Linked DNA regions of Macaca fascicularis. The protein of the gene in region 1 purifies or fractionates together with the protein of each later gene. This does not show direct contact. Links are inferred from orthologs where the notes say so. Each region holds a gene or a part of one and is shown in the gene's direction. Other genes may lie near its edges.

What was found.
Region 2: the proteins of HDAC11 (region 1) and GCFC2 purify together in Homo sapiens (co-immunoprecipitation; 3 studies listed by BioGRID and IntAct, counting the BioPlex papers as one, with this or other methods). This does not show direct contact. The link is inferred for Macaca fascicularis from reciprocal best matches to the Homo sapiens genes HDAC11 and GCFC2.

The regions. Positions count from the first base shown.
Region 1 is NC_088376.1:151,785,311-151,789,647, forward strand, and holds the start of HDAC11 (histone deacetylase 11), read left to right. Parts: upstream 1-1,455; 5' UTR 1,456-1,501; coding exon 1,502-1,503; exon of another isoform or gene 1,504-1,642; intron 1,643-2,140; exon of another isoform or gene 2,141-2,258; intron 2,259-2,409; coding exon 2,410-2,558; intron 2,559-4,317; coding exon 4,318-4,337. UniProt on the Homo sapiens protein: Responsible for the deacetylation of lysine residues on the N-terminal part of the core histones (H2A, H2B, H3 and H4).
Region 2 is NC_088387.1:46,159,227-46,163,585, forward strand, and holds the start of GCFC2 (intron Large complex component GCFC2), read left to right. Parts: upstream 1-1,386; 5' UTR 1,387-1,456; coding exon 1,457-1,748; intron 1,749-4,359.

The DNA.
Region 1 (4,337 bases):
CTCTTAATTCTCTGGACTTGCCCATGAAATCCAGAGAATGAATTGCAATTTTCTTCCTTTTTTTTGAGACAGCGTCTCACTCTTGTGGCCCAGGCTGGATTGCAATGGCACGGCCCCACGGCAACCTCCCCTCCCGGGTTCAAGCGATTCACCTGCCCCAGCCTCCCGAGTAGCTGCGATTGTAGGCGCACTTCATCACGCCCAGCTAATTTTTTGTATTTTTAGTAGAGACAGGGTTTCGCCATGTTGGTCAGGCTGGTCTCGAACTCCTGACCTCAGGTGATCCACTGGTCTCGGCCTCCCAAAGTGCTGGGAATACAGGCGTGAGCTACCACACCCAGCCCAGTACTTCATTTTCAGATGCAGACATGAAGGACCAGAAGGCTGAAGCAAACTGCCCAAAGCCACTATGCTGACGGGTGGCCGAGTCTGGGTTTAACCCAGGCCCGAACCTCAGTTCCCTCATGATAAAGTTGGAGTGATGATGTCACCTCTATCAGGATTAGGTTGTGAGGCTCAAATGCCATCATGCAACCACGGCAGGCACATGGGGGCCACTCTTCAAACGTCTGTGCGCTTCCCTTGTGCCCCGCCCTGGCACACAGCCGCCCCTGCGGAGCCGAGGGATCCCAGCCCGGCAGTCCTTCGTCAGCTGCTTCTGTTTGGTTGGCGGGGACAGCTGGGCCGACAGAGAAGCCCATTGTCTCTGTCCTCTGGGGCTCCATTGTTGGGGCCTCCTCCTGGGTTGCAGCCCCGCGGACACCCCCAGCTGTTCCTCTGGCCTGGCTCAGCTTCTCCCGGCGGTGGGGGTGCGGGTCGGGGACGAAGACGCGTGCACCCTGAAGACGGTAATTAGGCCTGCTCTACAGAGGGAAACACAGGCTCTGGGAGCCTACATGCCTTCGCCGGAAGTGCTTGTCCCGGAGCTCCTGCAGACTGGGCCGGGGGTGGGCTCGGGTCGGAGAGGTCACGGGGCTCCTTAGGTCACAGGCGGCAGGGCCAGAGAAACTCCCTCGCCCCTACGTTTAACCCGCGGAAACAAGGGCCCAGAGAGCGCGGACGCCAGCCCAAGGTCACACAGCGAAGCCCCGGCACAGCCCGCCGGGAACCTAGCGTTTCTAACCCTCAGCCTCTCGCTGTTTCTGCCCAGCTTGGGGAGCGCTGGAACAGGACCTAGGGTGATCGCGCCCCTTCCGCGACACCGGTGTGAAACCCGCGCGGCCCTCCCGCCAGGGGGCGGAGCTTCCAAGCCAGGCGGGATTCCACCGGGTATTTGCCTGCGGAGGCGGGACTTCGGGCTTGATGGGCGTTGGGGGTGGCCTCCTGGCGGGCGGGCCCTCTGTGACGCCGATACTGGCGGGGCGGGCCAAGTCGGCCAGAGCTCCGCCCCCAGAGGACGCGACTAAGCCCGGGGGCGTGTCCTGGGCTGGTCCCACCCGCGCCCCGCCCCGCCCCGCCCGGTCGCGGAGCCGCGGCCAGCGCTGGGAGGGCCGGCCCCGGGATGTGAGTGCCGCGGGGTGAGGGCGGGGGTGGGACTCCCTGGCCAACCCCAGGGGCTCCCAGGGGTCCCGGTGGGCGGGCGCGCTAGGGCAAGGGCGGGGACGGCCGGGCGGGCGCGCCAGGTGAAGGCCTAGATTTGCGGGTGAGGGACGCTCGGGACGGGTACTTCCAGGCCCTCTCGGCGCGCCAGACCAGCCCCGCGCCCCTGTTCGGTGGTCCAAGGGACGCGCGCCGGCCGCGGGCCCGGGCCCAGACCCGGAGCGGTCGGGCGACGTGCGCGGGTCTGACGTCTGCGCTGCCCAGCCCCCTGGCTGCGCGGACGCCCCCACGGAGGCAGCCACGGGGGCGGATTTCTGTCTCTGAGTGACGACTGCCAGGGTGTGATGGGAAGGGTCAGCCGCGCAGCGGGGCCAGGGGACCCCTGACCCCCGCCCTGGCTCCGGTTGGGTCCCGATTTGCGTTTCTGAGCGCTTGCTGTGCTTGGCTCCTCAGCTGCATTCTCTGAGTCCTCACAACAGCCACACATTTTGCAGCCGAAGCCTTGTGCCACACAGCTGTGGGGGCAGTTATTACAGTGCAGAGGTGATGCGCGGAGGCCTTGCAGCCAGGCACACCTGAGTGCACGCCCGCTTCTCCACAGACCTGCACTGTGACCTTGGGCACACCTGGTCTGCTCTCTAAGCCTCTGGTGCGATTGTGGTGCCTACCCCCAGGGCTGCTGTGAGGACCGGAATTGGGTTCAGGAAAAGACAACCAGTGTAAGCAGCTGTTGTTGAGCGGCCCTTGTCTGTGGCTGAGGGGCTAGTGGTGCTGGACAAAGGCTGGTGGGTCAGTACAGGCGGGCTCGGGAGGGAGCTGCTTTCTGCTGAGGCTGTCCCAGCTGTGCGTCTGTCCTTTTCCACACGGTAGGCTACACACAACCCAGCTGTACCAGCATGTGCCAGAGACACGCTGGCCAATCGTGTACTCGCCGCGCTACAACATCACCTTCATGGGCCTGGAGAAGCTGCATCCCTTTGATGCCGGAAAATGGGGCAAAGTGATCAATTTCCTAAAAGGTATGGAAGGCCCCCCTTGGACTATCATCTGCTTCCTCTAACCCACCTGTCCTCTCCGTCCTCATCCCCAACATAAGCCTCAGGCTCTCCCATCTTCAGTTTCAGCCCTCGGACTGCCTTCCAACCACGCTTCCGCCCAAAAGGATTTTTTTAACAGATTCCTAAGCATGATATGATGTCCCTGGCTCAGACTCTCCTTGGCTCCCCATGCTGTGGACCTAAGTCCCGCTTCTGCCCAAGAGGCCTAGTGGAAAGGCAGCTGATTACTGATGGGCACAGGGAAGGTGAAGCTTGGAGGAGTCCATTCCCTAAGATTCAGAGAGTCAGGAGGTAGAGCACCTCCACTGCACCTCCCTTGATTACAGATGGGGGAAATTGGGGCCCAGAAAGATTAGGAAACGTGCACACAGTCACACAGTGACTAAGAGGCGGAGTTGGATTTGGAATTCAGAGCTCCAGGCTCCCCACCTTTAGGGCTCATCCCCCTAAGCAAAATGATGCTTCAAAGAGCACATCATTTTAACTGTGGTTTGTAATCAAGGGGCCTGATTTAGCTGGGAAATTCACTTAAACTTGTTTTAAAAGGAAACATTATGTCATCAAAATGGGAAAAGGCAGTTTCACTTGCCATAAATAGGTCATGGTAAAAAAAATAAATGGAATGAAAACAACAGTATAATTTAATCCAGGCTGGTTACTATTGCCTGCAGGCTGTGAGACTGATTGGTGGTTTGAACGGAAGATGAGCAAAGCACAGGCAGGTGTTGCGAGGCCATGCCTCACTGAGCCTCCTGTGATATCATCAGAAGGTGGAGGGAGGCTGGGTGCAGTGGCTGATGCCTGTAATCCCAGCACTCTGGGAGGCCAAGGCTAGGGGATCACTTGAGGCCAGGAGTTTGAGACAAGCTTGGACAACATAGCAAGACCCTGTCTCTACAAAATAAAAATAAAAAAACTTGGCTGGGATAGTCCTAGCTACTTGAAATGCTGAGGCAGGAGGATCACTTGAGCCCAGAAGTTCGAGCTTGTAGTGAGCTATGGTTGTGCCACTGCACTCCAGCCTGGGCTACAGAGCAAGACCTTGTCTCACATTTATTTATTTGTTTATTTATTTATTGAGACAGGGTCTCACTCCCATCACCCGGGCTGGAGTGCAGTGGTGGAATCAAGGCTCATTGCCGCCTCAACCTCCCTGGCTTAAGTGATCCTCCTACCTCAGTTTTTGATATTTTGTAACATGAGGTCTCACTATGTTGTCTAGGCTAGTCTTGAACTCCTGGGCTTAAGCAATCCACCTACCTCAACCTCTCAAAGTGCTGGGATTACAGGCGTGAGCCCCTACATCTAGCCAAGACCCTGTCTCTTTAAAGGAATTAAAAAAAAAAGAAAAGGGAAAAGTGGAGGGAGAATTCCTAAGAAGAGTTTTTCTCACTCTGAGGGTCAACATCCCTGACCCTTGTGTCACCTGCTCCTGAAGGTTGTCTGGCACACCTGAGCCCTCCTTGTGACTATTAGTGGTTTGGGAAACATGGGGATCGCTGTGTGTACAATGTTCAATGCTCCTTGGCCAGAGGGACTGGCCACTGTCCACAATGGCTGTGGAGGCTGCCCCTTCTCAGAAGGCCCAGAAGCCAGCAGTGCCCACCTACCCCTGGGGCAGGGGCTGCCACAGGCCAAGTCTGCAGCCTGCGGGAGGGTCTGGGGCTGGCCCTGGCCTTGAGGTCAGTGGGGAAGCAGGGTGCTCCCTCTGTGGTTTCAGAAGAGAAGCTTCTGTCTGAC
Region 2 (4,359 bases), on another chromosome or scaffold:
CATATTCTGATTGTCTTCTTTGAAAAGGCTTATCAGAAATTCAAAATAATGCAATTATTTGTCTCTCACCTTCCTGTGACCTGGAAGCCCCCTCCCTGCTTAAGTTGTCCCCACCTTTCTGGACGGAACCAACGTACATCTTACATATATTGATTGATGTCTCATGTCTCCCTAAAATGTATAAACCGAAGCTGTGCCCCAACTACCTTGGTCACATGTCATCAGGACTTCCTGAGGCTGTGTCACGGGCGTGTGTCATTAACCTTGGCAAAATAAACTTTCTAAATTAGTTGAGAACTGTCTCAAAATTTTGGAATTCACACTGTTAAGTTAGGTTAACGTTCCTCCACGAGGACTCAGATATAGAAGTACAGAGTCCTTCTAACACATATTTAGTTCTGTTTTCTGTACCTCACTTTTGTTTTTCCATCCATAAATCTTCCACTAGGTGGCTGGCTACGCTTAAAGCCTCTCTGAACCTAGTCTAGTTTAGGGGGCGTGTGATTTGCTTAATTAAACTCTGTTTAATTTGTTTACGGTTTTCATTTAACAAAGCTGAGAGTCTGGAGATTTAATCCCTTAAAATATCCACTTCTGTGAAGCCCTTAGAAAGCTTTGTTCTCTAAAGCAGAGGCAGAAACGTCGTTGAGCACGGAACCAACTGCAGCAAGATGAATTAAATGAACTGGATGAATTGCTCTAGATGTAGACAGTCAGAGGCACCCAAATAACAATAGGTTTTACCAAAACGATCAATCACTCAAAATTTATGGTGCAGGCTTCCTTTCTGTAGACAGAGCTTAATGAATATAGTACAAATTTGCCTCAGACAATAGCCTTTTTTTGTTTTTAGATACTTTCCTTAAGGGTGAAAGCATTTAACCAGGACTAACCAGGACTTCTCGTGAAGTTCTGTTGCCTGAGAGTAGTCGTTTGATTTTTGCTAGTCTGTATGCATTGTTTATGTACAGACTTTACTGTTTTTCTCTCAGAGGCGTCTCCTTCTACCCCGAGCCTCACACTACTGGGGTTTCGTTTGTTTTACATCTTGGTTGGAGGGGGCTCTTTCTCCGGAAAATAAAAGACAACGGATCTGGCTCCAGTCCAGGACGGAGAGCATAAAGCCTAATTCACAAGGAGAGCACGTGAGTTCTGCTCTCCGTGGGACTCAGCCCAGAGAGGCCGTGGAAATCTCTAGATGTCAGTCCACGCAACCTAAATTGGCAAAAGGAACGCTTTGCCTCTACAGACCCAGACCCCAGAACAGAATTCGGCCAACCACAGCCAAGAAGGCAAATCACGCAGGCGCAGACAGAGAAGCGGGTAGTAGAAGGCTGGCGGACGGGCGCGCGCACTCGGCAACCAGGAGAGGCGGGCGCGCGCGCTGGGGGCGGGCACTGAAGCTCTGGCTTGGGGTTCACCGGGTCATAGGGCTCCGGGCCCTTGGGTCTCGGCCATGGCTCACAGGCCGAAAAGGACTTTTCGGCAGCGCGCTGCCAATTCCAGCGACAGCGATGGCGCCGAGGAGTCGCCTGCTGAGCCTGGGGTGCCGAGAGAAGTTGCGGCCCCAGGTTCTGCGGAGGAAGGGCCGCCCTCTGGAGGAGGCCGCGCGCGGGTGGCAGGACGGCCTCACCGGGTTCGGGGCCCTCGTGGCCGGGGCCGGGTCTGGGCGAGCTCCCGGCGCGCCAAGGAAGCGGCTCCCCGCGCGGACGAACCCCCGCGTCAGGGTGACGCGGGGAAGAAAGGAGGTGACGGCACAGGGCGGGAAGGGGCCGCGGGGTCTCTGGATCTTTCTCCGGGGGTTCTGTAACTTGCTGCCGATCATCAGCCGTGCTAAGTCCAAGTCCTGAAGGTAGTGAGCGAGAAAACAGCTCGAGCACTCGCCCGCTGCCTGCATCTACCTTTTGGACTCCTTGGGGGAGATAAAACAATCCTGTACAGTTGGGAGGCTCTTCGTTTTCACCATCAGATGACTCCACCAGTTATAACTAACACAAGGTTTATGAAGAACCTAAATTGTCACAACAGAATTCAATAATTTCAAATACTATTAAGTAGGCAGAAGTTATATGTACCTTTTAGACACTTGCCCAACTTATCTTTCTTGAAAACATTTAGCCAGAATAATACAAGAATCTAGGTTTTGGAACATTCCCCTTTGCTTGTTTTCTTTTTTCACCAGTTATTTGCAACAACTATTAAAAATAATATATACAACACAAAGAAGCATGATAGAGATTCATGTCACTGTAGATTGTACCAGTAATGGTGTTAAATATAGTGTCATTTTGAAGTACCTTTGAGTTCTTAAATACAGATGTAAGGCAGCATAAAGTTGTTTACATAAAATGTGCTGCTCTGAGTTTGAATTGTAGCTTAATGAGGAATACGGTTTTTGGTTAGTCTTGAGATCCAAAATCTTCCTACTATTTTTTATTCTCATTAAAGTGATTTTTATTAATTTATTGAGAAGTAAAAATTGTATATACTTATGGCATACAACATGATGTTTGAAATGTGTCTACAGTGACTAAATGGAGCTAATTAACATTTGCATTGCCTTAGGTACTTACTTTTTTTGTGATGAGAACACTTAATATCTACTCTCAGTAATTTTCAAATATGCAATGCGTTGTTGTTAACTTTAGTCACCGTGTTGTAAAATAGAATTCGTCTTGTCTAATTAAAATGTTGTGCCCTTTGACCAGTATCTCCCCAACTACTCTCAATCCCAGTCCCTGCTAACCACTGCTGGACTCTCTGCTTCTGTGACTTCTGATTTCCACTTTTTTAGATTACATATGCGAGGTCATGTGGTGTTTGTCTCTCTCTGCCTGTCTTATTTTAGGTAACATAATGTCCTCCAGGTTTGTGATCTTCGTGATTTCTTGGTCTTTCTTGTGACCTTCTATTTGTCTAAAGTTTTCATGACCTTTTATATTTGTTTTCTGGTGAAACTTTGTAGATGAACGTTGAAGTAAGGAGTTGCTTTTTCTCTTGCCTTCTAGAATAGTGTTTCTCAAACTTTTAGGGATTTGGACCTCCTTTAGACTGTTAGAAATGATTAAGGATTCCAAAGAGCTTTTGCTTCAGTAGGTTATACCTATCAGTATTTACCATACTAAAAATAAAATTTATTAATTCACTTAAAAAATCTATTACATGTAAGGATAAGTAAGATTTTTGTGAAAAATATTGCACAAAAAAAGAAAGAGTAGCATTGTTTTCAATTTGCAGATCTCTTTAATGTCTGGCAAAATATTAATAGAAGACAGCTGAATTCTCATAGCTGTTTCTGCTTTTAATCTGTTGTTCTCTTTTGGTTTGGTTGAAGTATTTGAAGAAAATATAGCCTCTGACAGATACATGGTTAAGACGAGTACTTAATAACCTTTTTAGATCATTGAGAGTGTTATGCTTTAGTATAACAAAGCTCAACAAGTAATAAACTAACCCTTCTTAAAAGTTAGTTGTGGGCAGGGCGCAGTGGCTCACATCTGTAAGCCCAGCACTTTGGGAGGCCGAGGCAGGCATATCAAGAGATCAGGAGTTCGAGCCCAGCCTGGCCAACATGGCGAAACCCCATCTCTACTAAAAATACAAAAATTAGCTGGGCATGGTGGTGGGTGCCTGTAATCCCAGCTACTCGGGAGGCTGAGGCAGGAGAATCGCTTGAAACCGGGAGGCTGAGGTTGCAGTGAGCTGAGATTATGCCACTGCACTCTAGCCTGGGTGACAGAGTGAGACTCTATCTCAAAAAAAAAAAAAAAAAAAGTTGCCAAATGGAATCTTAAACCATATGATTAAATTAAATTTGGGGTGCTCTTACATTAAAACTCTGTTCTGTTTTATACTTTGGATCTTTTACTCATGAACGATTGGTAACATCTTGCGTTATTTGGAAAGTATTCTTTAGATGAGTTTGCGGGTCTTACAAATGTTGGAGCATTTTATAGTACAATACCAAAAAAACTCAGTTAGTATTACCACTAATTAATCAGTCTAAGCATTGGAAAGCCGTTAGGTTCACAGTAGAGAATATACGTTTTCCAAAATCTCAATTTTCACTTGAAATCTCTCATTTTGGAAGTGATAGGCAAAACTGGGCTCAAGTTTGAGAAAATGTTTGTCAGATAGCCATGTCTGAATAACCAGTTTGTTAGTCATTCAGGTAAAATGGTGATGCTTCTTAAAAACAATGTCTAGTTCAGCTTGCAACTCAGTCACACAAATGCTTTTCCTTAAGGCAGCCATTGCATTTCAAGATGCAGCAAAAGTGTCTTATGAATACTTTGATTTTGTCACAAAGAAAATTAAACGTGTGTACTCGAGGGTCAAAATTTAATAAAATAACAATTT